Linked DNA regions of Diceros bicornis minor. The protein of the gene in region 2 interacts with the protein of the main gene of each other region in a pairwise test. Links are inferred from orthologs where the notes say so. Each region holds a gene or a part of one and is shown on either strand. Other genes may lie near its edges.

Region 1 (15,002 bases), on a different chromosome or scaffold from region 2:
AGTTTCTTTTCCAGGTCCAATCTCTTCTTTTCACTATAATACAGAAAGAAAATGTTTTATGAATAATTACACTGATAAGTAATAGGCTGCTGGATTTAGAACATGATCTCCTTTGAAATCACACCTTTGTAAGAATGCTTCTCTGGCCTCTCTAAGAAGCAGAAAATGCCAGCTGCGTTTGAAACTCAAGACAAAAATACTTAGCAGTCATCACGGAAGTCTAAAAAGCAAAAAGGACACTGAAATGAAGCAAAAACAAGATTCTCAAAGTAAATGGGGAAATGCAGTAAGAAAAGGCTGGGAAGCAGGTTCAATCACTCAGCAAGTATTTCTTGAGTGCCATGATGAGCCAGGGACTGTTCTAGGTCTGGAGACTAATCCGGTGTACACCAACCAAAGCCCCTGCCCTCAGGCAGCTGACATTCTAGGGGGAAGGAGAGACAATAAACAAGATAAATATGTAAAATATGATATGGCCAGACTTCTCTGAGATGGTGACAGTTGAACGATGGGGATCCCACCAGGTCTGGACACAATGCCTCCACAAATCCACCCTAGATTGAAGACTGGTGGCTTGCTCTGTTCCCAACTAGACAAGCCTGGGCAGAGCCAAGTAACTGAGTTAGGAAGAGGTCTCTGAAAAGTAGACCTGCCCTCACTCACATTTAATGAAGACTAGGCCCCCTAACACTATTACTTCAAATTTGGGGGGATTTCTTTTTACAACTTTGTAACATCGCCGTGATTTGTCACTGACTGCTATCCTGTGATGATCAGGTGAGTGCTGGCAGTCAGCTAGAGGACAGAGCTTACCCTGCACACCCAGCCTGGGCAAGAGGTAGGGGAAACTGGGCAGTAGGGGTGGTAGCAGCCAAAACCAAGGGGCTAGGGGTAAAACTGCTAAATGAGAAGCCATCTCAGTCCCAAAAAGAGTCCTTGGGAAGTTTAACCACAGAGGGCCCCGCTCAACCACCACCAAAGTACCAGCTTCAATCCCATCTAACTGAAGCCAAACTGCGAATCTAAGTTAACAATAACTAAAGGCCGAAAGAGAAATCACATAATGTCTGAGAGAAAAATGCTAAAGAAAAGACTGAATCAACGACAAGGAGTCCAACAGAAGGTGAGCCTAGCTTGGCCCCCTGAGGGACAGGGGCTGAGCCCACATTCCATTTGTGAGCTCTTAATTATTAGTTTCTGTTTTCCTTCAGAGAAAAAAAAAAAGCCCAAAAGTTACTCTGTTAGCTAAATTATAGGTTAAGTAAATTTCTTTGCTTAGCATAATCTAGAATGGAAACCATCATTTAACCAAAATTCTTTTAATGGGAAAATGGGGTCCAAAATCCAAACACTGAATCTTTGCTTGGGGAATAATCTCTTCCTCAGTTGGGGTATGCCTACGTTAAAAAAAAAAAAGGAAAAATAATTAAAAGAAAAAAAATTACAGAAACACAAATTTTTAATCTAATAGCTCCACACAGATCTTTATTTTCTCATTAAGAAGACTGAACTCAGAAGTGAAAGAAACACGGTATAATTGCTTCCATGTTAGAAATTTTTATTTGTCACTTTCCTCCCTTCTAAGGTTCAGTGATCAATAGGATACTTAGTTCATGAAAAATGAATGTCCGGATAGAGTGAGCAATTCGTCCCTAAATTATGAGACAGACCCTTAAAGGCATCTATGACCTTGTGCCTCTGATGTCATGCTTTACTTCTGTGGAATTTCTGCCAAGAAAGCATGACTGGAATCTGGTCATGAAGAAACATCAGATGGACCCAGCTTGAGGCTCACTCTCCAGAATGAAAGCTGTACTCTATGAAACTGTCAGGAACATGAAAGGCAGGGAAAGACTGAGGAATAGGTACAGATGGGGAGAGACTGAAGAGACATGGCAAATGGGTTCACAGGTGGACTCCTGGACCAGACGATAAAAAAGACAGTGCTGGGACAGTTGGTGAAATTTGACTGGGGTCTGTGGATTGGTATATCAGCATTGATTTCCTGACTGGGAGAGTTATATGGTGATCACAGAGAGAGCATCCTTGCTTTTTGGAACTATACACTGGAGTGCTTAGGAGTGATGGGGCATCATATCTGCAGTTCTCAAATGGTTCAGAAAAGATTAATAATTTTAGATAGAAAGAGAAAGAGAAAATATAACAAAATGTTAAGAGTTGAGGAATCTGGGTGAGGGAAATATTAGAGGTCTTTGTCCTCTACTTGCAACTTTTCTGTAAGCTTGAACTCATTTCAAAATAATTGTAACAATTTACCTCTGACTTCTAGTGAAGAAGGACTACAGTCTCTTTGGGAATCCACCACCTCACAAGCAGCAAGTTCTTTTTAATAAAGAACATAAAACTTCTTTGTTCTTGCTCTATCTCCAGTAGGGACAGACTGGTCAAACTTCTTCTCTAGCATGACACTTCCTACACTGAAAAACCACAAACACCTCTTGGCCTTCTATTCCAGGCAAAATGATGCTAATCTCATTCACTCTTCATCACAGGCCCATTTTCTAACCTCATCATCCATGCAGCAGTGCCTGTGAGTGCTGTCTTTCATATGTTTTAAATTTAAGACTTAAAACAAGATATCTACCCCAATAAAAAGCCAGAGAAAGGATTATTGGGAGGATCATCTTGCAATTCCTACAGATTAAATCTCTGTTTCAGAATCTTTGGAACATCCAGCCCAGGGATATGTACCCACTGCCAATGGTTTCAGGCACCTGCACCCCTCACTTGGACCTTTCGAAGTTTTACACAGCTGGGTGGTCCTTAAAGTGTAGCATGTGGTTTAGTTTCCTCCTTTTAAGCCACCTGTTATTCAGTTTTTGTATCAATATCATCTTCAGCTTTACTCAACTAATACCTCAGCATCAATTTCTGGACCTTTACGATATCTCACCCTGAATCAATATTGCTATTGAAAACACTGGGGCTGGTTAATGGGCCTTTTAAACAGATGTTTTTATATAATTGTAAGTGTCAACTCCACTTACATGTTTCTACCACACTTGTGGCACTATATGCACTGTACAGAGTCATTCCATCAGGCTCTTGTAGATTCAACGACCTTCCCACAATGCAAAGAAAACACTGATACAAAAAGGAAAAAATTCAGAATATAAAATTATATCTATGTGTGACTACAGCTAAGACAATCTGGGCTAGAAACACACCAAGTACAAGGGAAAAGCCCAGTTATTAGACCAGCTAACATTGCAATCACCCACCTCTAACAGGGCTGAGAAAGGGCAGGTTGTTTTTCTCTCTCACTCCCAGGAAATCTGTGGACTGATAAAGCAGCTGTGACTACCCAAGGTCGTAGCCTGTAAATTTCTGGAGCTTTAGGAGACAATGGTCCTTGTGGTCAGCGGGATTGGTTAAGAAAAACAGGTACATTCAAACACTCAAATAGGATACAGACAATGATATTCATTATTTGTTGCTTCACAAAACTACAGCTTTCAACTTTTTTACTTTGAGGCTCTTTATTTACTAGAGAAAAAAAAATCTGTGGCCTTACTTTACATATTAGTCAAGGCCTCTCATTTCTGTGAAGAACCAAGGTTCAGAGAGGCTGAACGACCTGCTCAAGGTCACACAACAGTTCACAGACTGGAACCCAGGTTTCCATGTTTCTACTGCACTTTTCTGTGTATCCAAAATTATTCGCCTCTGTACTTATCAACTATGCATTAGAGTTAGTTATGGACTTTTAAAATGAAAAATGAGTACACACAGCAACAGATCTGTACTGACTTAAAAATAAAACCAACCTCCAAAGGCAGAACCATGAATAGGCTATAAAATTTGACTCAAATTCCTTATATAATTTCAACAGCCTCACCTTGCTTAATAGTTAAAGCATTAAGTGTTAAACATTAAGTAATAATCATTACACAGTTATTATACCATAAGGACTATAAACAGCCAGGTGTTCCTAGCACAGGAAGCAAAAATGATAACTTACAATTAACTTAGTTCAAAAAGAATGCCATTTGAACCAGCGACATTTTAAAATTTAGAACTTGGGCTAAGAGATACAAATAACTAAAGGCCTGGGGTAACTAAGCTACTATTCTAACAGAACAGAGTCAAAAAGCAGTTAAAAAAAAAAAAAAAAAAAACTCAAAAAACGAACACACACAGTACAGAGAACAGATTGGTGGTTACCAGAGCGGAAGACGAGTGTGGGGAGGGTGAAAGGGGTAAAGCAGGACATGTGTACAGTGACGGATGGAAACTAGACTTTGGGTGGTGAACACGATGGACTCTATACAGAAGTCGAAATATAATGATGTACACCTGAAATTTATATAATGTTACAAACCAACGTGACCTCAATAAAAATAAATTAGTAAAATGTAAAGAAAAAAAATTACACCCACACCCAGAGGTGAATTTGTTTTATTATTTGTTTGTTTGCTTTTTAACTTGGAGCTGGACTTCAGTATAAGATTTCACTTTGGGGATGGGACAATAGCTTAAATTGGTTTGAATCTATAAACCAAACTTTAGTTTTTCAAAATGGTTAAGGAACCTTGGAGCAGAATTGAAATTTTAAAATTTATTTTAGGGGCCGGCCTGGTGGCGCAAGCAGTTAAATGTGCGCGCCCCGCTGCGGCGGCCCGGGGTTCATGGGTTCGGATCCCGGACGCGCACCGACGCACTGCTTGTCAAGCCATGCTGTGGCGGCGTCCCATATAAAGTGGAGGAAGATGGGCACGGATGTTAGCCCAGGGCCAGTCTTCCTCAGCAAAAAGAGGAGGATTGGCAGATGTTAGCTCAGGGCTGATCTTCACACACACACACACACAAAATTATTTTATTACTCTTATTGTTCTTCCCCTTGGTGATTTCTTTTAATGTATTTAATCTTATATAATGGCTTTTTTGTGTGTGTGTGAGGAAGATCAGCCCTGAGCTAACATCTATGCTAATCCTCCTCTTTTTGCTGAGGAAGACTGGCTCTGAGCTAACATCTATTGCCAATCCTCCTCCTTTTTTTTTTCTCCCCAAAGCCCCAGTAGATAGTTGTATGTCATAGCTGCGCATCCTTCTAGTTGCTGTATGTGGGACGTGGCCTCAGCACAGCCAGAGAAGTGGTGTGTCGGTGCACCCCCCCCCCGGAATCCGAACCCGGGCCGCCAGTAGCAGAGGGCACGCACTTAACCGCTAAGCCATGGGGCTGGCCCCAATGGTTTCATTTTAAACACAACATAACAAACAACATTAAAGAAACTGGGTTTTTTTCTTTAAAAAAAAAGCACTTTAAGTGTACTGATGCACAGAGCAATGTCTTGTCTTTTAATTATCAAGTATACGCAGACACAATATCATCTTTGAAATATCACACTGTCCACTCTTCCTGGTTGACTGGAACATGGTCATTATTTAGTGGCAATGTGTGGCTAGTGTTCTATACAAGACATTTACACCTCTTGGACGTTAGCTGGTTGACGTGGGATTTCTTCCATTCCTTGAACAAACATATATCAAGTCCCTCCTCCACCTAAGGTACTCTATTATCAGCTAAAGCTTCAGCTAGATATGGTTTCTGAGCTCCTAGAATTCTCCATCTAGGCAGGGAGCAAGTCACTCAAGCCACTATCTAGAGTCCTTTAAGAATGCCGAGGTTGCATAAGTTAGGGAACAGGCTGATCAATACTTGGTGCAGGGAAGGCACTGAAGGAAGCAATTTTTCAAAAGCTGGAGTTGAGGAGGTTCCTGGGGTGGGTGAGCGGCGGTATGTCAGAAAGAAAATAGGATGTAGAAAAAGATTAAAGAGTAAAATACGGTGAGGACAATTCAGGAGGACTGTTGTAGACGCTCCATAAATATTTGACAAAAATTAAATGTAGCATAAAACCAATATAATTCCTTTTCAAAACCACTTACTTCTGCCTTTACCTTACACGTAACTATTGTTGTCATTTTAGCATTGTTACACACACACAGCTCTCTTCACTAAAATGATTTTGCAACTTTAACACTCATTAAACCTTTTGTTTATCAAGAGATCCAAACATCTATTTCCTTTCTTGTCAACTAATGAGATTTCCAACACCAATTAATTTAGCAGCTAAATAATAGTTCCAACAACTTATCTTTTATGTGGTTATTTATAGCAAAGTGCTTTATAATTTTCTTTCTTTATGTGCTCTTAGATCTAGCTGTCTTCAGCGGTTCTCATCTTCCACGTCTTAATCAAGGTATCATGAATACTCCAGAAGCTGGACTTCTCTGTCTGCAAATTTCATCCCTTCGTTGGAACTATGGCCCTCAAAAAGTCTCCCGCATTTAAATAGGGCATATGTTTGACAAACACACACACACTCTCCTGCCTGCGTTCCTGGACCTGTCACCACTGATGCAGTGCAGCTGTCAGGGTGGGATGACAATTTGAAGAGACTGCGGAGGGGGCGTGTAGAAAGGAACTAGAGAAATTCACGAGGCTTGACTGAGAGTGACAGGCAGGAGAACTCCTACTCCCACTTCCGGGCAAATTCAGTGACGCGGCCGCGTCCTCCAGCGGGAGATCTCCAACGCGGGGGTCTCTCCGGTAAACTCTGTCCTCCAGGCCCCAGTGGGAGCTTGGGGGCCGTCGCGGGCGGACCCAGGCCCAGGGGACCCACGGGCGGGGCGAGTGGGAAGGACAGAGGGCAGGGCACCAGCCGACCCTCGGCGCCGGCCGATTCCCGCCCCCGCCTCGGGTAGGCCGTACCTGTCCCGCAGCCCGCGCTGGAGGCGGCCCAGCCTCTCATAGTAGTCGGGGCTCGCCAGGGGCGCGGACCGTGCGGGTGCCTGGGGCATGCCGCCGCCGCCACGCTCGCCCCGCGCCGCTTCGGGCCAGCGCGCGGAGGGGAGGGGCGGGTTGTCGGGGGCGACGGCCCCACCATGCACCGCGGGTGAACATGGCGCCCCGACGCTGTGCAGGGGGCGGGGCGGGGCGCCGTGAATGGGCGGGGTAGACGGCCGTGGAGGGGCGGGGCCCGTGGAGGGGCGGGGCGGAGGCGGGGTGTCGTGGGAGAGGTTGACGGCCGCCTTGGGGGGAGCCGGCCCAGGCTGCACGCTGCGGGATGGGCAGGGGTCCTTGGGGGTTGGGTGCCCAGGGCTCTCTGCCGGAGACTGGCGTCTTCCTTCTCCCTAACCGTTCAGAACTCTCACGGGACAGACCCTGGTCCTCCTCCAGGCGGAGCCGTTCTCTGAGGGTCAGTCAGAAGACCACTCCTGATCCCCACCATGGGTAAAGGATGGAGCGTGGCTGGGAGCAAGTCACGTGATCATTTTTTGTCCTGGCATGAAACTACATTAATTTTGCAAGATGCATTCTCTTTCCCTCCCGCCACCTCTCCCTCTCTTCTCCCCAGGATATGCTGAGTGCCACGCACTGTGCTAAGCTTGGTTTCCTACCAGCACTTAAAAGCAAAAGAAAACACCACAAAAAAGGACAAAATTGTAAGCAACTGTGTTCAGCCCTGACAGCAGAACAATCCCTTACCTGTAAATCCGTGCTGACCATAAGGATGTGGTTAATGCTGTAGGTCACATTACTAGTTGGTGAGGAGAGGAAAGTTGCTAACAAGTTGCTTGCAAAGCAGACATTTGTTTGTGCAGATATAGAATCCTGTAGCAGGGACTTGAGCCAGGCTGCCTAGACTCAAATCCCCTCTTCCACTGCCCAACTGTGTGACCAAGTGCAGGTCACCCTCCTGAAGCCCAGGGTTCTTTATTTGTAAAACCAGGAAGATTGTTACTGCAGGGCCTAGCTATGCCATTGCTATAAAGATTAGATCTGTTAACGTGTGTAAGTGTTTAGAAGAGGGCCCAGCACATAGGAAGCATCAGTTTTTATCAACATCATCACCAACTTGGGGGAAAAGCTTCCTGAAGAAAGCCAACCATACTCCAAAACCTGCAGGGCAGAAAAAAAGAAATTATAGTTTCTTTAGTCTCTTATTCTTCATTTCTTTTGGTTTCTTTTCTCAGTCATTAATTTCACTTACTTGCAAGGTGTGACTTAAACTAGTAAATCAATCATTAGCAAGAGAGATGGACTACTCAAAGGTCGATAATATAAAATTATAATGTTACTTAGCCTTCCCTTCACATTTGCCAGGGCCAGGGCAAGAGTGTGAATGGACGCCCTCATACCATCTGTCAAAATATTAAACAATTATAAATCAAGATGACAATTTGTAGATAAAATATGTTCTCTCCTCCTACCTTGGCCAATGTGCCTTCATAAGAACCTGGAAAGCCAGAGGGAAATTTAGTTCTCTGACTCCTTCCCCAGCCAACTCCTTTATTTCCCGCCCCGGGCCCAGTCTTGCACTGTGAGGGGCTGCACACACTGGCAGGGATGTGTGTGTCTCCCCTACGCCGCCACCCCAGTCTACAAGTCCTAGCTCTGTCCTCATCCTCACCTCAGCCTCCTCTTGGCCACTCCTCAGGCCTAAGGGCGAGCACCTTGCAGGAAGTGATAGTCACCCTTGCAGGAAGGGTCCAGGAAAGAGGTCTTTAAGGGCCTCAGAAAGGAGGTTAGGGCCCTTTGAGCAGGGATTGTCAGGGTGATAGGTACCTGGAATGTGTTGCAGAATGGGGTGTGTGTGTGTGTGTGTGTGTGTGTGTGTGTGTGTGTGAGAGAGAGAGAGAGAGAGAGAGCGCACTCTAGGCAGGCATGTCCCCTGGCCCTGGGCCTCCTTGCCTTGCATAGAATGGCATGGCCAGAAAAGGGCCAGAACAGGCTTTGTAATATACAGAAGCCAGGGTAGGGGCCCTCTTGCCTAGGTCTAAGGGTAATCCTGATGTTACTTTTATTTAGTTATATCAAATCATTATACCAAATTGATTCCATGGTAGTTGTGGACCTTAAACAGCCAGTTATTTCTCCAGCACAAAGAGGTTTATTTGGGATCAGCAAAGAATTGCAATCTAAGGTCTACAACCATGTCAAGCCACCTGCAAGTCCTGCAGAAAAGGGAGGAGAAACTCTTATAGAGGGGAAGAGGAAGTTGGGAGGGCTAATGTAAACAAAGAGTCCTCCAAAGAGGAGGAGACTGGGAGTTTAAAGTGTAGTGGCTTTTCATTGGCTGAGTTGTGGTAGTCTATCATTGGCTGAGCTGTTGCTGGCAAGAAGAGGAAGTCTTTCTTCTTCCTATTGGGCTCTGCTATCTTCATAGGGTGTCAGAGCTCCCCCTTTTGGCCACCTGACTCCATTTTAGTCAGGTTTATGTTTATTAATTTCCACATAGTGTACAAAGGTTTACTTTAGTGATTTTAGTGCAAACAACATTGTACTACAACCCTGGCAAAAAAAAAAAAAAATGCATCTTTTTAGCATATTTTATTTAGGTCTCCCCTCACCCAGATTAGTTTTCTAAGGGAAAAAAATCCCCCAAACAATTAATGTAACTAATTATTTTCAGTAAATACATAGAGTAACCAGGTGAGGCATCGTTTAGCATCCCAAATTTTTATTAGGCCATTTTAGGAGAGTCTAAAATTAAATATAATTAAACAGTAAATAGATAATTCAAAATAATTAAAATTTGCATTCTATGGTTGATTTATTAATGACATATGACAAATCCAAATGCAGGACCCTCTTTATTAACAATAACACATAGCAAACTAAATGAATATTTCTAGAGTATTTATGCTAAAATTATGCATTCTAAATGGTGACAGACTTTTATTAAATGCAGAGTTTTTCACTTTGAATATTTAATTTGCTGGAGCACTCCCTTTTAATATTGTTCTTAAATCCCTTTATATTAGCAGAGCTGATTTCTGTAAACAGCTCTGATTGTACTTCCTGGACCACAGGCCATGAAGTCTGCCTAGATGGACAAGTCTTCTTATAAGCTACAGAATGTCTTAGCTGCGAGTTAGAGGGAATCTAGCTTCACCCCCTTGTTTTTTTAGAGGAGAAAAAGGTTCAGGGCAGGTAAGGGACTTGGCCCGGGTCACAGCTGATTATCTGTGTAATGTTAATGAGTCTAGTTCCAAAGATGGGTCCCTAATGGCCCCATTAGGCAAAGAGTAAAGAAAGCCAGTGTTTCATCTCAGTAGACATATGGCTCTTTGGGTGAACCATATGAAATTGCCGTTTTTGTAGCTCAGAAACAGTTGGATCAATGAATGGAAGATTGGTTTTGGAAATATGTTGAAATTAGAATTTTACATTTTAAAATGTAAACACCACACAATTTTAAAATTAAATCCTGTATATTTGAGTCAATAACTGCTTGGATATTATATTATGTAGTTTGCTAGGGCTGCCATAATAAAGTACCACAAACTGGATGGCTTAAACAACAAAAATTTATTGTGTCACAGTTCTGGAGGCCAGAAGTCTGAGATCAAGGTGTGGGCAGGGTTGGTTCCTTCTGAGGAAGACTCTGCTCCGTGCCTCTCGCTTAGCTTCTGGAAGTTTGCCAGCAATCTTTGGCATTCCTTGGCTTGAGGTGCATCACCCCGATCTCTGAAGTCATTTTCACATGGCATTCTCCCTGTGTGCATGTGTGTCTCCAAATTTCCCCTTTTATAAGGAAACTAGTTATATTGGATTAGGGGCCCACCTTCCTCTAGTATGACCTTATCTTAATTAATTATATCACAATGACCCTATTTCCAAATAAGGTCACATTCTGGAGTGCTGGGAATTAGGACTTCAACATACGAATTTAGGGGGTACACAATTCAACCTGTAACAGACATGAACATGGAAAGTATTTCATTTTGCAATCACTATTCAGAAATATTTGACATTGCATCCTATGCTATTAGAAAATTCACTTTTAAGTAGAGATGACTCAAAAGTAGAAAGTAGGGAGAAAGGCTGTGATGCCACATGAATATGTATGTGGAACCCCTCCACCCATTGAGCATTTACACCAGTATAAGCATTTATTGCCTTATTTAAACCCAATAACAGTCCTTTGAGGGCACCTGGCCTAAGATCATGCTGCCAGTATGTTCTTGACCAGCTAGTGGTAGAGCTAGAATTCAAACAGATCTTTTCCAAATCCAAAGTCTATCCTTTCTTATCCTCCATTCTATATGGCCTTGAAACTCATCATTTGACAGCTACTGATATTTTTTATTTTCCTTGTATGAGATGTGTAAAATATATATTTTGTGACCCAGAAGGGTTTACACATATACATGGTTCATTATTTGAGGAATAATATTCATTGACATAGAATGCATTTTTTACCTGCTGTGATATAACACTATGTGTTCACCATTCTGTTAATTTTCCTCCTTAGCACTCAGTAAGACTACGTTTCTCATCCTTTCTAGTGGTTAGATGGGTCTATATGACCCAGTCTGGCAATGAAGTATGAGCAGAAGTGATATAGCCACTTCCAGGCCTGGCCTCCAAACATCCTGCACTCTCTTCCTTATTTTTCATTAGTTGGCCAGCTAGATGCAGAGGATCCAATGGAGAACTCTGAGGCCCTGGAAGAAGAGTGGATGATTGCAAAGCATAGAGCACAGAACTGTGTCTTGGGCAAGAACTAAACCTTCAATATATTGAGCCACTGATATTTTGAGGTTGTTTGTTTCAGCAGCTGGCATACTTATCCTGACTAATACACAAACATTCCATGCAACAATTACACAAATGCACCAAAACAACTTTCTACAACATTTTCAATGGATTTATGTGACTATCCAGATGGCGAAGGAGACTGAAAACCTGGAACTCTGAGATTAAGAGTTGATGTCTGACAATGGAATACTACTAAGTCAAAAAAAAAGATGAAATCTTACCATTTGCAACATGGGTGGACCTTGAGGATATTATGCTAAATGAAATAAGTCAGATGGAGAAAGACAAATACCATATGATTTCACTCATATGTGGAAGATTAAAAAAACAACAAAAACAAACAAACACATAGACACAGAGAATAGATGGGTAGTTACCAGATGGGAAGGGTGGTGGGGGGAGAGTGAAAGGAGTAAAAGGGCACAGTTGTATGGTGATGAATGGAAACTAGACTTTTGGTGGTGATCACAATGTAGTCTATAAAGAAGTCAAAATAGAATGATCTACACCTGAAATTTATATAATGTTATAAACCATTGTTACCTCAATAAAAAAATAAATTTTTAAAAAAGGAGTCAATGTCTGAGAAGAGAAGCCTAGATAGTGAAGGCAAAGTTACAATGAAGAACCATCTAGAGCAGCTCTGGCCAATAGACTTTCAGCAATGATGGAAATGTTCTATTCTGCGCTGTTCAATATGGTAGCTGCAAGCCACATGTGGCTATTGAGCAATTGAATGTGGCTAGTGCTACTGAGGAATTGAATTTTTTATTTCATTTAATTTTAATTAAAATTTAAATTTTAGAGGACATGTGTATCTAGTGGCTATGTATGGGACAGTGCAGATATAGAGATAAAGTGGAAAGATGGATTAGCATGGTGGGGGAAGAGGGGAGTCATAAATTACTTGGAAGTGGAAAGGCAGGAACTGGAAGGTAAGATGTCATCCTTGGTGGGAGGTGATGATGGTCAAGAGGAGAGGTACGATGGTTAATTTTATGTGTCAACTTGGCTAGGCCATGGTGCCCAATTGTATGGTCAAACACCAGTTTAGATGTTGCTATGAAGGTATTTTTAAAATGTGATTAACATTTAAATCAGTAGACTTTGAGTAAAGCAGAGTGCCCTCCATAATGTGGGTGGGCCTCATCCAATCAGTTGAAGGCCTTAAGAGAAAAGACTGAGGTTCCCAAAAGAGGAAGGAATTCTGCCTCCAGACCGCTTTCAGACTCGAGACTGCAAAATCAACTCCTGCTGAAATGTCCAGCCTGCAGGACTGCCCTATGGACTTTCAAACCCCCACAATTGCATAAGCCAATTCCTTAAAATTAATCAATCTCTCTCTTTCTCTCTCCAGATATAGATATAGATGTAGATGTAGATGTAGATGTAGATATAGATATAGATATAGATATAGATATAGATATAGATATAGTTATCTATCTATCTTAACTGGTTCTGTTTCCCTTGAGAACCCTGACTAATACACGAGGGCATGAGGTTACTAAGAACATTTTGCTCAAATGTATTTGTAATAGCTAATTTAAAACAATAAGAATCAGGTGCAAATTCCAATAAATAAAATGAAATCATAGATTCCCTCATTTTATTTCATATCGTGTAAACCAACAACTAATGTGTGGGTCTCTAAAATACACCAGTTCTATGAAAGCTAAATAACAGCCAAACGATAGAACAATAGAGTAGTTGAATGGCTCCAGCTAGAGCCTCACTAATTCAGGGAGATGGGCTCCCTCTGTCTCACAGCTCTTGCATGCCTATTTCCACTGAAGTCCTTGAGGTCTCCAGGATTATTCATTTGTTGACAAAGCGGAATCCTCAGAAGTGATAAATTCCGCACACCCAAGTCCTTGTACTCTTTTCTCCCTGCGTGGTGTCTCCCTGGATGGTGTCTTGGTTCTGCCTGGGAGGGACTACTCCACAGCCTTGGACTCCTGGTGCGTGGGGAGCATCCTTGCATCCCTGTAGGTGCTGATGTCATGCATGAGCAATCTTTGAATGCTGAGATTCTCCTCAAAAATCATTTGGTGGATTTCATAATTGTTTGCCACTTAGATGCACTTCTCATCAGGGTTCAACAAGTACTCCTAACTACAAGGATTGGAAACAAAGGGATGCTCTAGGCCTGCTCTCACAACTCACAAGCAGACTGAAACCAAAGAGTCTTGCATAATAAATACCATTTAATTTGATGTCTATGTGTTTATGCTTACAAGGTGACAGGGTACCAGGTGTAAAACAGTCCACTTCTTATTGTCTGCAATTATCCATGGCATTTGTCTTTGTAGAAATGTTGGCTTCATTCATTCCTGGGGCACCTGGGTGGTGTCCACCACAGAGAACACCCTCCCTGCTCCAACAAACATTTGCCATTGTGTCCTAGAGAAGTGTAGAACACAGAGGTTGAGAATTTTGGCTCAAGTGCCCCTCTGCGTGGTATACTACTACTTCCTCTTACAAGCTGTGTGACCTTGGGCAGATTACTTAACCTTGCTGTGTCTCAAATTCCTCACCTGTAAAATGGTGATAGTAATAGTGCCTTCCTTTCAGGCTTGTTGAGAAGATTAAATGTGGTCGTCTGTGTGATGCACTTAGAATCACGCCTGGTAGAGTTAGCCCTCGGTAAACACAAGCTGGCATCACTTCTTCAGAGAGCAAGAAGAATATCCCTTTGGGAGACGAAGAGAGTCATCAGAGGTAAGGGCCCATGTTCTGCTTCTTACTATTTGTCTCTGTCTCTCAGAGTCATTTCCTAAGCGTCCTCTCTGTCCTTTATCAACGCTGCTGGCCCTGCACTCACATGCCCACTCAGAGGGGTCAGGTCTCCTGAACTCATTGCTGCTGACTCAGTAGCTGACATCAGTTGGGAACCTCAATCCCGGATTCAGTTTCAGTCCTTTTGTGTCAACCCTGGCAGTTGTATGGATCCCAGCCCACCACCCCTCAGGAACAGAAAACCAGGACACGGAAGGGAGCACACAGCACCATGTTGTCAAAAGATCACATGCTTTGGAATCAGAAGACCCGAGTTCAAATCCTGACTCTGCCTCATATCAGGTGTGTGGCTCTGAGCACATTTCTTAACATCTTGAATGCTTCATTTTGCTCATTTCTAAATGAAGGTAATGATATTTTTATTTATGAAATTATTGTGAGTTGTGAATGAGGTAACATTTGAGAAGCTCTTAGCACAGGCCTGGCCCATAGAAAACATTCAATAAACAAATGGTTCCAACTTCTCCCTGAGAATTAGGAGCATTCCTAATTTCCTAGGACTTTTACGTGTAACCGAAGAGGAATGGCAAATGATTCATTTTGTTAATGGTTGTTATGTGTGTGCACGCTCACGTGCACCAATAAATAGCTAATATTAGCATAGCCTTACTTTGTTCCTAGCTCTTTACATGTA
Region 2 (15,148 bases):
ACCCCACGATCCATCTTGTCTTCCCCGTGCCTGTTGGATTGTACGTAACCACAACTGAGATCCCATCATGTTGTCTTATAGCTTTCAAAGCAATTCAGTCACAAGTTCTCACCTTACATCAGTGACTTGCCCTCCTGCCCACAGGAGCCCCGAGCCTCATTCCCCAGCAGGGGCCTGAGCGGCTCGTCTCACCACCGCGGGCTCTCACTCCAGCAGGATCTCTCCGACGGGCGAGGCCCAGCGTGTTGCTGTGTCTGCATCTGTGCGGAGCCTCATTCATACTTTTTGCCTATTTTTCTAAGTGAGTCTACAACTTCCATTTCTGGAAACCCCTTATGTTATAGAGGTATCAGTCCTGTTCTCCTGAAAATGCCCATCTTTTGACAAACCAGAAGTTTCTGCGTGAATAACTTCCAATCTGGGAACACAGTAGCCTGTAGAACGATCACCTGCAAATGCCATGAACTCACAGGCTCACAGGACATGTTTCAGGCAAATCGACAGCAGGAACAGATGAGTGATGACCAAGGGACAACGTACCCTCAGCTGGGTCTCGGAAGTGCTCGTCACTCGGGTCTGAGGCTGGCTCTGGCCCCTGCCGGGGGTGGGGCGCTGGGTCAGCGGGTGAGGCTGTCGGCTCACTGCCTAGACTGCTGGTGGGAGCCGATGTGCCCAAAGAATTCATGGTTCCCTCCTGGAAGGAAGGTCAGTGTCACCTCGGGTGGCTGTTTGGGCATCCCGTGCAGTCGAGGGTCCTGGATGGGGCCTTTGCTTCACCCAGTCTTGTCAAGATGAGGGGGTGTGGGGGGCAGGGCCTGAGGGGCAGCAGTGTGTCCCACCCGGTCACCACTGGCTTCCCTCTGTGGTCACAATACACAAATGGTGGCGACAGTGCTGGGACACGCTTCCACTCGGTCACGCACACGCATGCGTTCTGTACCTCGCCGGCTGCTCCTGAGGTCCCGGCCAGGGTCTGCACCACAGGTGTGTCATCTGCTGAGGCTGAAGGCACCTGCCTGAAGAGAAGGGTCAGCAGGGCCTGTGCCCATGTTGTCCCACCAACCCCCTGAGCTGCCACCTGCACTGTGGACCCGCACCTAGGAAGCCAGGCACAGGGGCTAAGCTGGGTGACCCGGCAAAGCCGTCCCCACCAACCTCTCCTGCGCGAGAATCGTGAGCCTAGAAGGAGGGCTTGGAAGCAGACAAGGAGCTCTGAGGCAGTTTCAACTCAATAACAAAGCAAACCACAAGGATTCATTCATCCTTTCTACCGGGAAACTGGCAAAAGCAGCTGGGAGGGCAGGGAGCCGGATGGGGACCCTCTCACTGGGCAGTTCCAGGGCAGGGACGGCAGCCTGCCAGGGAGTCAGGGTCTCTTCAGAGAAGCTGCGAGCCTGTGAGCTGGCCAGCTGCTGGCCAAGCTTCTCTTAGAACCGAACACTTGGCGGCCACCAAGAAGCTGTCGCCAGAGAGCAGTGAGCACGTGAGAAGGCACTCACACCAGGAGACAAGAAAGAGCCTTTAAGAGCCACAGCCAGTGCTAACGGCCCTTCATCATCTTTGGGATAATGGGTGTTTTTTCTTCTCTAGATATCTTTCTTGAAATTCTAAACTCATTACACGTAGTATTCTTAAAAAGCACAAGGGGCCGGCCTGGTGGCATGGTGGTTAAGTTCATACGCTTCACTTCGGTGGCCTGGGGTTTGCAGGTTCGGATCCCGGGCGCGACCTACGTACCACTGGTCAAGCCATGTTGTGGCAGCATCTCATATAAAGTAGAGGAAGATGGGCATGGATGTTAGCCCAGGGCCAGTCTTCCTCAGCAACAAGAGGAGGATTGGCAACAGATGTTAGTTCAGGGCTAATCTTCCTCACCAAAAAAAAAAAAAAAAAAAAGCGGGGGTGGGGGAGAGGACGTAACAGGGCGCAGGGACACTCTCTTTCCAGCTATTTCACAATAGGCAAGGCTGCTGTGAGCACCCTTCCTCTGTCTCGGGACGGGCCCGTGTGTGCCCTGAGGCCCCTTCTCAGGGGCACGTAGGCGGCATTTCTGGTCACAGGTCCACCAGCACACATACCACAGAGCAGCTTTCCTGACATTGCCACCCCATACTCACTGGTTCAGAGGTGAGTCCTCCAAGCCCGGAGGCGCAGTGCTCAGCTGTGAGGCCCCGGGACCGTCCTGGGGGTGTTCTGGGGGCCGAGCCTCCCTTCCACCTCCAAACGGGTTGAAGTTTGGGTCGTCCAGCTTGTCCCAATCCAGGTTGTAAGACCCCCAGAGAGGGAGAACAGGACCCTCATCTGCCTCCTTGGGGGTCTTCTGCCTCACCTCCGGTCTCCTCGAGGGAGGTTTAAGGCCAGGTCTCTTCCCCAGTTTCCTTGGTGGGGGCGGCCTTTTGGGGGCAGCCTCATCAGAGAAGTCAAATTCTAGCTTTATGGGCCCATTCCTGCAAGAGTCAGCCTTTTGACCATCGGCCTCTTCCTTCTGAGGACTTGGGGACGTGGCCTCTCCAGCCTTCAGAGGGCTAGCCAGGGCGGCATTCTCAGGACCAGAAGCATCCTCAGGGTCTGCAAGGGCCTTGCCAGGCAGGTCTGCAAGGGGCCCTTCTCCATGTGCTCCTTCGGGTGGAGGACTAGGAGGCGAAGCAGCCCCGGCCGAGGAAGCAGGGATCCCCTGCAAGCTTCCTCCTGCCGCTGTGTGAGGGTCCTCTGTTCTGTCTTGGGACACCATCCCGAGAAGGTCTTCTAGAATTTCAGAAGTGGATGTAATGCTTTTCTCTAAGGAATAAAAATGAACGTTTGCCTCCAAGGTTTGCTCAGGGCTGCCAGACATTCGTCCTGGAGATGCCACCTGGTTTTCAAGACTTTCCAGCATCTGGGGAGAGCTTGACGGGTTCAGGCTGGCTGGGGGAGCTGAGGTGGGCCCGCTGGAACTCCTGTCTTCAGAGGCTGGTCTCACGTCCCCTGGAGGGGGGTTGGCATCCAGCACTGCTGGTTTCTGGAGAATTCCATCGGTCGTTTTGGTGTCCACTTCCTTGGTGAACTGTTGGCTTTTTAGAAACAGACTTAGTTAATACTAAGCAACCCATTTTGTTTTTTACATTTTAGCCCACATGAAAACATTAGCTAAAAACAGAAAAAAAGAATGTTTAGTCAACCATCTCCTCAGGATTAACTGTCACAAGTATAGTCCCATAAATCAATGCTGGTGAGCAACCTAGGGACACACGGGTTTCTGAGAGTGAGCAGAAACCTGACAGATACATGACCAAAGTTAAGGTTTTCTGTGCTACCCTACTTTCCCCTTTTGGTTGGGGACCACCAGCTACATAGTCAGGGACAGTCAGGCACACGAGGGTCAAGCCCTTCACTGAAGAGAGAAAGGCAGGTCGAGAACACTGCCTTCAGAAAGCAGGGTCCCAGCTCCTAGGGCCACCCTCCCTGGGTCCTCCTGGCCTGCTCCCTGACTTCTGCTCTGTGGCTCTGCAGAAACAGGGCAGAGGCAGGAACCACCCTGGCCCTCGAAGCAGGTCAGATCCTGCGGCCAAGAGGCCGGGTTTCCCTCCCTTCCTGAGGCTGTTATAAAGGAACAGTATTTAAGTCCCTCTAATCTCACTCAGCTGAATTTCAAAAAGTATAAAACTGAAGCTGACAAGTAGCAAGGACACCTGGGGAGGGGAACAGATTCAGGCTCGAGGAGCTTCCACGAGGAAACAGAACCGTGGCCCCAAGAACATTTTACTTAAGTTAGGTGAAGGATATGTTAGCGATACTTTGCTTTTATACCTTGCTCTGTACATCTGAAACCTGTTTAGAAGAAAATGCAAGTTTTAAACAGCTTAAGTCAGCAAAAGTCAAAATGAAAATGTGCCAGTGAGGACCCTTCCCACTCTGGATGCAGAGGGTCCCTGGGGGCCTCAGTTGGGTTAGTTCAGCCTAATCTGGGGGTGAAGAGCTGCCACTAGGGTTCTCCTTTCCAGACAGAGGCAGGAAAGGCCGTGGCACTCACTTAGTAGACCAAGCCAAACACCTAACTCCAGGTGAGGCTGCAAAGAAGCTTCTCCCAGTTAAAGCCAGGTGTTTAAAACCTGGTCCCTGAGGCCACTCGCACTCTGACCAGATTACACAACAGACATCTCCTCTGCCTTTAAAAGAACACAGCTCAACTTGCAAGCAGAAGAGAGACCCCAGTGGAACACAAAAAGAGACATAAAACCACAAAGTGCCCTTCCTTAGAGATGTGAGCAGGACATTTCGTGAAGCTAGAGAAACAAAAAATGAGGCCAACTTGTTGGCAAGGGTACAACGAAGGAATGGAATATGAAATTTAAACTTATTATAAGTGTTCCATTATCCACTTTTCCAGTAACGACTTCCGATGCCAAATACTCTGGACCATGCACCACACAAGCTCAGAGCGAGACCAAGAGAAACTCAACCAGATGAGCAGAATTTTCCTGCCGAGTCTACGAGAGATGCTACAAACTGCAGTACACAAGCAGCACCCACACTTACTTCTCTTTCTGCGTCCAGACTTGAGGAAGGTTTCTTAACCCTCCGGCGTCACCCAGAGCAAAGCAAGCCTCCGGTTTGCTGCTCACAACAGGACTTAGAACTCTGTGCGTCTGTGGATCCCGCAGAGGTGTCTGAAAAGTCACCTGTTGGGAGGGAGACAGCACCTGTTCACCAAGTTCGTCTTCAACCACTATGCGAGGAGCACCCTGCCCTGGCAGCTCATTTAAGTCACCAGGAAAGCAGGTTCCAAGGTGACCTAACATGACACACGGTGATCTCACATAGGCACAACGCGCTCACCTTCACGGCTTTGGCTATGCTTTTGGGTGGCACATTTTCCTTCTGTGACAGACGAAGAACAGATGATCTTCCGGTAAGTTCTGGTGGTGAAAACAGGAAGTTGCAGTTCTCTGTACTTTTGTCACCAGTGACATTTTCGTCATTGAAGATCTGCAGACTCATTCTGAAAAAGCAAACAGCGTGTGTCAGCATGAAGGCAGCGACACTGCGGCGCCTGGATGCACCAACGTGAAAAAGATGGAGCTGACTCTGCAGCTCGGCCGGGAGGATGGCCCCTTCCTGCGCAGCTGGTCACACCTCAGGCAGTGTGTCCTCTGCCAGGTGCTCCCTGTCCTGCTGCAGGGGAGCCACCACCTCCCAGGCCTAAGGGCTAGAAGGGCCTTCAGCCTTTGGGGCAAAGAGGAAAACCCAGGTGCTCCCAACAACTCGAACTTCATGGGTAAAAGTCAAGAGACAAGTAAAAGGTGGCCTTGGAGAACACCAGAAGAGGCAGAGGAAGCCTAGGTCTCCCACAGGCCTCCACTCGAGGCGCCAAGGCTGTGTCAGAGCTGGAGCAGGTGGCCACGCTGGCAAAGAAAAGAAAAGCGGAAAGGTGCGGTGGCTCACTCTTCCCCACGTGGCTGGGAAATAGAGACAAGGTGAGGGCAGCAGGACCGCCAAGGCCCAGAGGAGGAGCTGGCAAAGGAAATACGCAGTGAGGTGCAGAACTAAGTGGGGAGCTTCTACATCGGGGCCTGGAGTCTGGAAATACACCAGGAGCCTCCAGTCAGGCCCAGAAGGTTCTGGAACAGCCCCATTCCTTCCTACAGTTCTCATCATGGTCGCCAACATGACATTCCCAATCTAAGAGTCATCAGAGAACTGGGTATGGACCTGCGCAAGGCCGCACCATGGGTACCTGCTGGTGGTGGGGGCCCTGGGGGCTGCAGCTCGAACAAGGCTGAGGTGTCTGAGGCAGAAAGGTGCAAAGGGGGCCTGGAGGGGTGTGAGGTCGGCACCTTGGAGGGTGTGAGAGGAGGCCGGGAAGTGGCGTCAGAGGCTCCTGCAGCAGGCCTGGGCTGGGTCAGCCCTGGCTTGGCCAGCGGGCCCCCCTTCGGTGTGTGGAAGCGGGAAAGACTCAGGAGTCCAAGGTGACAGCTAGGTCTTCCGCCTGAACAACTGGGTGAAACACGGAAGGGGGCCTCGAGGACAGCTTTCTGGCCGTCCCTGGCCTGGGGAAGGTGGGAAAACAGTGATGGCGGTCTCAGTCGGTTTGGCTTCTACTGACCACGGGACCACGGGCGGGGGCTCCGGAGCAGAGGCCGCCCTGCGTGCGCGGACTGCGGTAGGGCAGCAGCGGGCGGGGAGGGCTCGCGCCCAGGTCTGCGGCGCAGGGGCGCGGCAGTGGGTGACGGCTCACAGCTGGGGCTGGAGGAAGCAGCAGAAGCTGCCCCGTTGGAGGGGGGCGTGGCCGCGCAGAGCCGGAAGGGCTAGGGGTCCGGAGTCCCGTCTCCGACACCCGGGCAGGGGGGCGGGCAGCGAGCCGGGCGCGCGTTCGGTGCTGGAGACGTGCATTTGCAAACCACAGCTACGGGTGGTATGTGAGGCTGGACAGGGTCACCGAGGTGAGGGGTGGCCGCGGGCCAGGCCCTGAGGGACCCCGACACACGGACCTCCTGGAGGATGACCCTCGCGGAGGGCGACAGAGGGGAGGCGGAAGAGCCAAGAAGGCAGGAGCCCGCCGGGCGTCTCGGACGGCGGGGCAGAGGTCACCCGGCTCCGCTCCGGGCTACGGCGGGCCGGCGGGATGGGCCCGCTGAGAGGGACCGGCGAGAAAGCGTCCTTGAAGAGGCGGCGGGAGGGCAGGGGCGCCGCGGGGACACGCCGAGGGTGGACCCGCCGCCGGGAGGGCGGGTGTCGGCAGCTCCGCGGCGGACAGAGGCCGGGGCCGGGCCGGAGGGTGCGGAGGAGGCTGGGATGGAGCCCCGGGCCGGGACCCGCCCGCCGCCGCCGCCGCCGCCGCCGCCGCCGCCTTACCTGCCGGCCGCGGTGCGGAGCCGAGAGAGCGAGAGGCGCCGAGTCCAGGAGCCCGCCCGCCCGCCGCCGATTCAAATCCCGACGGTTGGCGCGCGCGGCCAATCAACGCGCGGCTGGGGCGCGACGCACGGGACGCCGCCGGCCAATGGGAGGCCGCGCCTAAGGCCACGCCCCCGCGCGCCGGCGGTACCGCTTCCGGGGCGGGGAGCACGCTGGGCGCAGTGCGCGCCGGAAGTCCTCGGGAGCCGCGCGTTGCCGACGAGTGGAGGGTCAGGGGTGCTCGCAGGCAGACGATGACTGCGGGGCCTGCTGTCGCTTGGGGATCTCGTGCTCTGCTACGGACGGTAGACTGGGCGGAAAGGCCGGAGCCTGAGAGCCGCTCGCCCGGGCTTCAGTATGCCCAGCTGTAAAATAGGACCAGGTGTAGCGCCGCCCCCAGGCCGGGTCGTGAGGAGGAGCCGAACCTTCGCGAGGATTGTCGCGGCAGCTCACGACTTCGGGTCATGTGCGGGAAGCGGGAACTCCATGTTCCGTAGTGCCCCACGGGGCTCGATCTCTCACAGCGTACTGCGCCGGCTTGACGGTGGGACTCCATCTCCCAGAGTGCTCCGCGGGCGGGGGAACTCCCATTCCCAGAGTGCCCCGCGGGCGAAGACCTCGTCTCCCAGCGTGCTCCACGGGAAATCCCATTTCCCAGAGTGCCCCGCGGGCGAAGACGTCGTTTCCCAGAGTGCTCCACGGGAACTCCGATTTTCCAGAGTGCCCCGCAGGCGAGGACTCTATCTACCAAACGGCTCCGTGGGCCCCCTCTCCCAGGGTGCCCCGCGCCCACCGGACCGGGAAGCTCGGGCCTGTTCCCCGCGCCGGGGGCGGCGGGTCTCGCCGACGGTTCCCGGCGGCGGCGCGATGGACAGCCCGGAGGTCACGTTCACGCTGGCCTACCTGGTCTTCGCCGTGTGCTTCGTGTTCACGCCCACCGAGTTCCACTCGGCCGGGCTCACGGTGCAGAACCTGCTGTCGGGCTGGCTGGGCAGCGAGGACGCCGCCTTCGTGCCCTACCACCTGCGCCGCACGGCTGCCACGCTGCTGTGCCACTCGCTGCTGCCGCTCGGTGCGCCGGCGGGGCCCGCTCGGGGGGCGGAGGCGGCCGCGCTGCGGGCTCCAGAGGCTGCCGGGCCGCAGGGTCACCTGTCTCGGAGAGTCGGGGAGGGCGCTCGGGGAGAAGCGGCCAGCCCCGAGAGCGAGGCTGCGTCCGCCCGCCCGGCCGCTCGCAGGGAGCAGAAGAGCAGGCTCGGACCCCGGGGGGATGCTCGCCCGCTGGGGCAGGCGCGAGCGGTCACATGGGGTGGGGGGCAGTGCCCCGGAGAAGGGTCTGAGGGCGGGGGTCTGGGGGACAAGGTGGCCCTGCCCCAGGCCTTGGACGGTGGGCGTGGGAAGGGCAGGCAGAGGTAGCGACGCCAGGCGGGGTTGTTACAGGTGCGGAGGCCGGGGAAGGCATGTGTGTGGCCGGCCCGCTCCGAAGTTGCCCAGGGGTCGTGCTGGGCAGTGACTTGGGGCCTAGCTGGGCTCTGGGGGTCGGAGTGTCAGCTGGGTGGACGGGGGACTGGCTGGAGAGTGGGGGAGCAGGCGGGGGTCCGGAGAACACGCAGGCGGAAGCAGGTCTGGGAGGGCAGGGGCGGTGGCCCTGCCTGCAGCTCTGTGGACACGGAGGAGTGTCCACCTGGCAGGCGCGCAGCAGCCTGGCCAGTATGGGGAGCGGCAGGAGGGGCCTGGGCTGAGGCCGGCCGGTGCATGGGGGCTGCCTGCCTGCGTGGACGGCGCGCCGAGTGGAGCCCACGCCGGGATGGGGAGGGAGCTGGCGTGGTGAGCTGGTGGCCCATGTCTTATGGGCCGGGTGGTTGCTCTGCGTGGTGTTGCGGTAACTGCCTGGCCGCCTCCACAGAGCACCCAGCTCCCTGTGAGCAGGGCAGCCCATTAGCCCCGTGCCCAGGTGAGGAGCATGCGGCCTGGGGCCTGGGCTCCCCTGAGGGTGGCGGGTTGGCTTCTGCCCTGGAAGCTCAGGAGCCCTCCAGCTTCCTGGAGCCCGTGGGGGGCTGGGCCACCATCCGAGGACGGGCAGGGACATCAGGACTTAGGGAGCAGAGTGACTCCAGGAGGCCACACCCAGAGGAGGAGGTGGAGCCTGGCCTTGTGGCTGGACACAGGGTCTTGTTTTGTTTTCCAACTTCTTTTGAAATGCCTTTTTTGGGAAACTTTGAATCATATTTGTCGCTACATGATAAATTATCTTAAAATGTAGTGATTTCGGCAATAGCAAACTTATGTCATTATTTTTGTGATTTCATAGCTGCCACTGCACCCCATCACTATCTGCGTTATTCATTTTGAGTGCAAAGTGGCCTCAATCTGGCCAGCAGGGGCCCGGAGCTGGCTCCTGTGTTCTTGCTGACAGCCCCCATCGTTTGGCACACGATGTCCCAGCCCTGGGATGGGTCACACTCAGAGGGGTGGGGTCAAGAGGCCAAGATCCCACTCTGTGGAGGGCAGCTGTGCATCTGGTGACACCAGATCATTGCATTTGTTGTTTTTCTAGTTTTTTTCAGTATTCTTATGTTGTGTAAAATTAAAGTAGCAAATTAAAAACGTTTTTCCCTTTTTTATGGGGTCACTGTCCGGGTCAAGGCTGATTTGGGCCAGTGTGGAGGCAGGTGAGGTCCACCTGCTCTGGGTACCCTGGTCTCGCCCTGGGAGCTGACCAGGGCAGAGGGCCAGGCCCAGGGTTGGGGACGAGAGGAACTTCCCTAGGAGGTACAGGGACAGCACTGTGGCCCTCACTGGGGGAGGACAGTGGCCTGGCAGTCCCGACCTTTGCTGAGACTCACTCTGTTGCTTGCAGGCTACTACGTAGGCATGTGCTTCGCAGCCTCAGAAAAGCAGCTCTACTCCCCGAGCCGGGCCCCAGAGGCCTGGCAGCTCTTCCTCCTGCTGGTGGTCACCCTGCTGACTGTCACCTGCTCCCTGATCTATTACTGGTCCCGGGACCGGTGGGCCCGCCACCCACTGGCCCGTACCCTGGCCCTCTACGCCCTTCCGCAGTCGGACTGGCGGGCCGTTGCTTCCTCTGTCAACACCGAGTTCCGGCGGATCGACAAGTTTGCCACGGGGGCACCGGGAGCCCGTGTGATCGTGACGGACACGTGGGTGATGAAGGTGACCACGTACTGCGTGTATGTGGCCCAGCAGCAGGACGTGCATCTGACAGTGACGCAGTCGCAGCAGCACGAGCTCTCGCCGGACTCCAACTTGCCGGTGCAGCTCCTCACCATCCACGTGGCCAGCGCCAGCCCTGCCGTGCGGGCCTTCGACATCCGGTAGGCATGCCCGAGGTCAGGTGGGGGTGAGCCAGCCAGTGCCCAGGTTCCAGTCTTTGTGCCCCCCGGGAGGCGATGATGTGTGGAGCAGCCCCTGCAGCCATCCCTCCAGTGCCTCCCCCTCAGAGCCCCCACTGCACCCCCCAGGCCCCTCCCTGGCCCCCTCATCCCTTGCCCCCCTTGCGCCCCACAAGTACCCTTTCCTCTCTCTTTCTCCAAGCTCTTCTCTGAATCTGCCTTTTCAGCTTCTTTGGGGAGCATGTTGGGGACACTTGGTGGCTGTACAGGATAGACGCTTGGTGGCTGCCTCAGCTCTGAGGTCTGGGTTCTAGCTGAGGTCTTGTGTCCCATTCCAGCTGAGCTCTTGAGACACGTTTTGGGTCTGCTGAGGACCAGCCTTGCTGTGTTTCAGCTGCAGTTGGCCTGCCTTTTGTCTCTCTCTGCAGCCAGTGGGGTCAGGTGGGCAGTGCTGGGTCCGTGGGCTCTGGCCTCAGGGCCATCTCTGTTGGCTGGTTTTCATTGGACAGCTGGGCTGTGCCTGAGTCCCCATGTTCTGTGTGATTGTGGTGCCCTGGTCACCCTCGGGGCACAGCCTTGGCCTCCCTGCCACCTGCCCCAGGATCTGTGTCAGGTTGCCGGGAAATGATGGTCCTGCCCTGCCGAGGGGCCTCAGTCCAGCGGCCCCAGCCCAGCAGCCCCGCCTCCCTGCAGGCTGAACTCCACGGAGTACGGCGAGCTGTGTGAGAAGCTCCAGGCGCCCATCCGCAGCGCGGCCAACGTGGTCATCCGCCAGAGCCTGGGTGACCTGTTCCTGGAGACGTTTGCCTCTCTGGTGGCGGTCAACCCGGCCTACTCGGTTCCCAGCAGCCAGGTGAGGGGCTGGGCAGGGGTGGGCGGGGTCCCATAGCCCAGCTCCTATGGGCCAGGTCCCTGGGGTGGTGGGGGGCCCCATGGGGTCGTCTGGCCAGGCTCCCCGTGATCCCCTCGGCCCACCTGCAGGAGCTGGAGGCCTGCATTGGCTGCATGCAGACTCGTGCCAGTGTGAAGCTGGTGAAGACGTGCCAGGAGGCAGCTGAGGGCGAGTGCCAGCAGTGCTACTGCCGCCCCATGTGGTGTCTTACCTGCATGGGCAAGTGGTTCGCCAGCCGCCAGGACCCGCAGCACCCTGACACCTGGCTGGCCAGCCGCGTGCCCTGCCCCACCTGCCGTGCGCGTTTCTGCATCCTGGATGTGTGCGCTGTGCGCTGAGCTGGCCAGGCCCTGGCAAGGGAGCAGCCTTGGTCCAGGCCAGCCGTGCCAGGGTCCCCACAACTGCCTTGGGGAGCAGCCAGGCTCCCAGGCCCAGAGTTCTTCTCCCAGCGGGCAACTTGCCTCTGCTCTGAGGCTGTGGAAGTGCAAGGGCTCCTGTTTGGAAAGGAAGTTCCAGCTGAGGTCCTGGCACTGGCAGCAAGGAAGGTCTTGAGTGCCTCTGCTTCCTTCGCTCCCGTTTCTCTGGGTGGGGCTGTGCTGGGCACAGAGAACACAGCCTTGGGCCCATATCCAGAGCATTCTGGGCCTCCTGAGCTGTCTTCTGGGAGGTCCCAGTGTGTCTAACGTGAGCCAATTGCCTTATTTTTACGGAGCACACCTGCTTCTCAGTTACTTTTAGATCTAGATTCCTCTAAGACTTGGCCGAAGCCTTTCTTCCTGCTTCTGTCCCCAAGCCTGCTGCTGGCCCTGTGGTGTTCGCGCCCCCCGCCCCAGAGGCTGCTCTGAGCACTCAGGCAGAGCTTGCAGGTGCAGGGGGAGACCTGGGGTACTGCTCCAGGGTGAGAGCACTGCCTAGAGCTTCCCAGTGGCTGCAGCCAGCCAAGGGGTTGCTCTCTGCCCAGGGAGATCCTGGGCTTCCCCTCAGGGGCTGGGGGAAGGGCTGGCTGCTCTCAGCTGCAGCTCCCTTCCTGTGTGTTTCTGGGAGCCACCCGCTCCTGGAGGGGCGTGCACTTACATCTGCTGCTGCCCCCATGGGTTCAGGGAAAGGCCAAGCCTCAGACTCTTGGCCGAGCGTGGGTATTGAGCTGAAGATCAAGTGCCACTGAGACAGCCAACATCAGCCAACAAGCCTGTTGGGACACAGCGCAGGGCTGGCCACAGCCCCCCAGGGTCCATCTGTTTCAGGAGGGGACATGCCCAGTGGTCAAGGTGTGGACAGGTGTCTTCCCGATTCCTGGTGGCACAGTTGGCCAGGGGAGGGCAGTGCCAGTCCCCAGCTCTGACATATGTGGCTGCTGGAGGGGCCCTCGCTTGGAGCCCTGAAACCTGGGGCCTTAAGCACTCTAAACCTGGTCATCCTAAGCAGGGCTGATGGACCCGGCTGGCCTGGATTGCCCAAGGCTGCACTGAACCCCAGGGAGTTGGGAGCGGAGAAGGCCCAGATTTGTGTGCCCGCAGGGTGCTCAGCAGATGAAGGCCATCAGAGGGGCCAGCCAGGAGCCACCCTCAGCTTCAGCTTGAAGTTTTGGGTGCTGCCAAGGGAGGGCTGGGTCTGCGGTAATTTTTAGTACAAAAGAGTTACTTAGTTTTATGAAGATACACCTATTGCAGCAAAGCAATACATATTTAATAAAATGTTAGTCTGAACTTTATATTATCTCCAAACGGAATATTTTGGTTTTCTGGTATTCGAGCTTTCGTAAAGAGGAAAAGCCAACTTAGAAGTGGCAGTGTCGTGCCCACTTCAACGTGTGCGTTCTGTTCGGAACCAGAAGGGAGACGGGTGCTCCAGGAAGTTCCCTTCTAATTTCCTAGCTGGGGCGGGGGTCTCAAGAAGCCCATTTCTGGGGCACCTGCGGGAGTGGGCGCACTGGGCCTGGGCCTGGTGTTCCGGTGAAGGGGCTGCGGCCAGGGCTCTGGGGGCGGGGTCCGTGAGCAGCGCTCAGGATGCAGGAGCCCGCGGGTGCGGGGCCTGCTGGTTGAGGCCTCCGGCCCCGTGCTCGCGGCCGTGTCCCCTGAGGTGCCGGGTAGCCTGGGTGGCCCAGGAGGGCAGCCACACCCGGCCGCCCGGGATCTCGGCCGGGGGAGCTCCTCGACAGCGCCCTCGCTGCCCCCACGTCACTGCCAGACCCGAACGTTTTTAGGAAAGTGGTGCATATAACGGGCTGAAACACGACGGGCGGACTCGAGTTCTCTGCGGCTTCAGTGTTTGATTCTTGCCACTCGGGGCCTCGTCTCCTCTCTTCTGCACACGTTAGCATTTGACGGCATGAGGCCGGGCCAGGGCCCCGGAGATCGCGGTGTCAGCGCGGGAGGCGGCGCCGGAAACCGCGGGGGTGAGAACTGACGGGCCTCGCGGCGCGGGCATCTCCGCGCGAACAAGTTCCGGCCGAAGCTGAAGAGACAGCGCTGCGCGCGACCCGACGCTGCTCGCCTGCCTCCCCTTCCGGGTTCCCGGTTCCCGCCAGCGCGGAGACCGCCCCGCCGGGCCGGCCAATCGGAGTCCGCCCCCTCCTAACGCCCGCGGCGCGCGCGACCGAATCTCCCGCCAATACCCCTCCCTCGCCCGCGAAGGCGCGGCCGCCTCACGCCGGCGGGGCCCGCTTCTCTCGGCCTCCCCTCCGTCCCCGGCGGGCGGCCCTCCGCCTTCCAGCGGCGGCGTCGGGGCTGCGGTCGCCCCGGCCCGGGCCGCCCGCGAGGCGCGCGGCGGCGCCTCCCCCGCGGTGGCCGATGGTCGCGCCCGGCCTGGCGCGCGGGCGCTCCGGGGGCGGGGCCCGCGGCGCATAAAGGCGGCCGGGGCGGGGCGCGCGCAGTCTGTCAGCGCCGGCGCCGCGAGGAGGCCGTCGCCCGCGCCCGGACCCCGCGCCCCGCCTCGGCCCGCGCGCGCCATGGCCTGCCGGCCGCGAAGCCCCCCCCGGTGCGGGAGCCGCTGCGACGGCGACGCCAGGTGAGGCCGGGCCGCGCGCCGGGGGGCGGCCGGGCGGGGCCGGGCGGGGGTCGGGGCCGGGCGGGGCCTCGGGGCCCGTCCGCCCCTGACGCGGCCTCTCGTCGGCAGCCCGCCGCCCCCCGCGAGATGGAGCCTCGGCCGGAAGCGCAGAGCCGACGGGAGGCGCAGGAAGCCGGAGGACGCCGAGGGCCCCGCGAGGCCGGCGGGCGACCGCAGACCCGACAGGTGGGCCCGGCCCGGCCCGGCCGGCGAGGGGTCAGGCGATGCCCGGCGGGGCTCCCTCGGGCCGCCGCGGGCGGGGGAGGCGGGCATTGGGCCTTGGAGCAGTGTCGGCCTGTGGGTCACCCCCCTCCCGACTAGTCAAGTCCTGTGGATCATCTCCCTCCCCACTAGTCAAGGCCTGTGGGTCACCAGCCTCCCGATTAGTCAAGGCCTGTGGGTCACCAGCAGACTAGTCACAGCTGGTGGGTCACCCCCTTCCCGACTAGTCAAGGTGCTTGTGGGTCACATGTACACCTCTTCCCTAACTAGTCAAAAGCTGTGGGTCACCACCCCAACTAGTCAAGGCCTGTTGGCCACCTCCTCCCTACTAGTTAAGGCCTGTGGGTCACATGTACACCCGTTCCCTAACTAGTCGAGGCCTGTGGGTCACCACCAGACTAGTCAGGGTGCCTGTGCATCACTCCCCTGACTAGTCAAGGCGCCTGTGGGTCACTTCCCTTGAGTAGTCACAGCCTGTGGGTCATGTCCCAGATTAGTCAAGGCGCCTGTGGGTCACCACCCCTATCAGTCAAGGCTTGTGGGTTACCACCCTGACTAGGTCAAGGCCGGTGGGTCATCCTCCTGGCTAGTCAAGGCGCCTGTGGGTCGCTCCTCTGACTAGCTAAGGCCTGTGGGTCACCACCCCAATTAGTTAAGGTGCCTATGTGTCACAACACTTGATTAGCTATGGCTCCTGTAGGTCATGCAATGACTAGTTAAGTCACCTGTGCCTCACAGTGCTGGGTTAGTTAAGGCACTTAGGGGTTAC

What was found.
Region 1: the proteins of TACC3 (region 2) and KIZ interact in binary tests that used the Homo sapiens proteins (3 or more experiments, as listed by UniProt). The two-hybrid records come from large-scale screens. The link is inferred for Diceros bicornis minor from reciprocal best matches to the Homo sapiens genes TACC3 and KIZ.

The regions. Positions count from the first base shown.
Region 1 is NC_080758.1:47,600,063-47,615,064, reverse strand, and holds the start of KIZ (centrosomal protein kizuna), read right to left. Parts: upstream 6,841-15,002; 5' UTR 6,826-6,840; coding exon 6,737-6,825; intron 34-6,736; coding exon 1-33. UniProt on the Homo sapiens protein: Centrosomal protein required for establishing a robust mitotic centrosome architecture that can endure the forces that converge on the centrosomes during spindle formation. Required for stabilizing the expanded pericentriolar material around the centriole.
Region 2 is NC_080747.1:1,097,533-1,112,680, reverse strand, and holds the start of TACC3 (transforming acidic coiled-coil-containing protein 3), read right to left. Parts: upstream 5,916-15,148; 5' UTR 5,814-5,915; intron 4,979-5,813; 5' UTR 4,978-4,978; coding exon 4,816-4,977; intron 4,659-4,815; coding exon 4,516-4,658; intron 3,051-4,515; coding exon 2,118-3,050; intron 1,017-2,117; coding exon 941-1,016; intron 695-940; coding exon 541-694; intron 1-540. Other genes in the region: TMEM129 (E3 ubiquitin-protein ligase TM129), read left to right, coding at 7,228-7,942, 9,728-10,202, 10,914-11,073, 11,202-11,450; SLBP (histone RNA hairpin-binding protein), read left to right, coding at 14,060-14,118, 14,227-14,343. UniProt on the Homo sapiens protein: Plays a role in the microtubule-dependent coupling of the nucleus and the centrosome. Involved in the processes that regulate centrosome-mediated interkinetic nuclear migration (INM) of neural progenitors.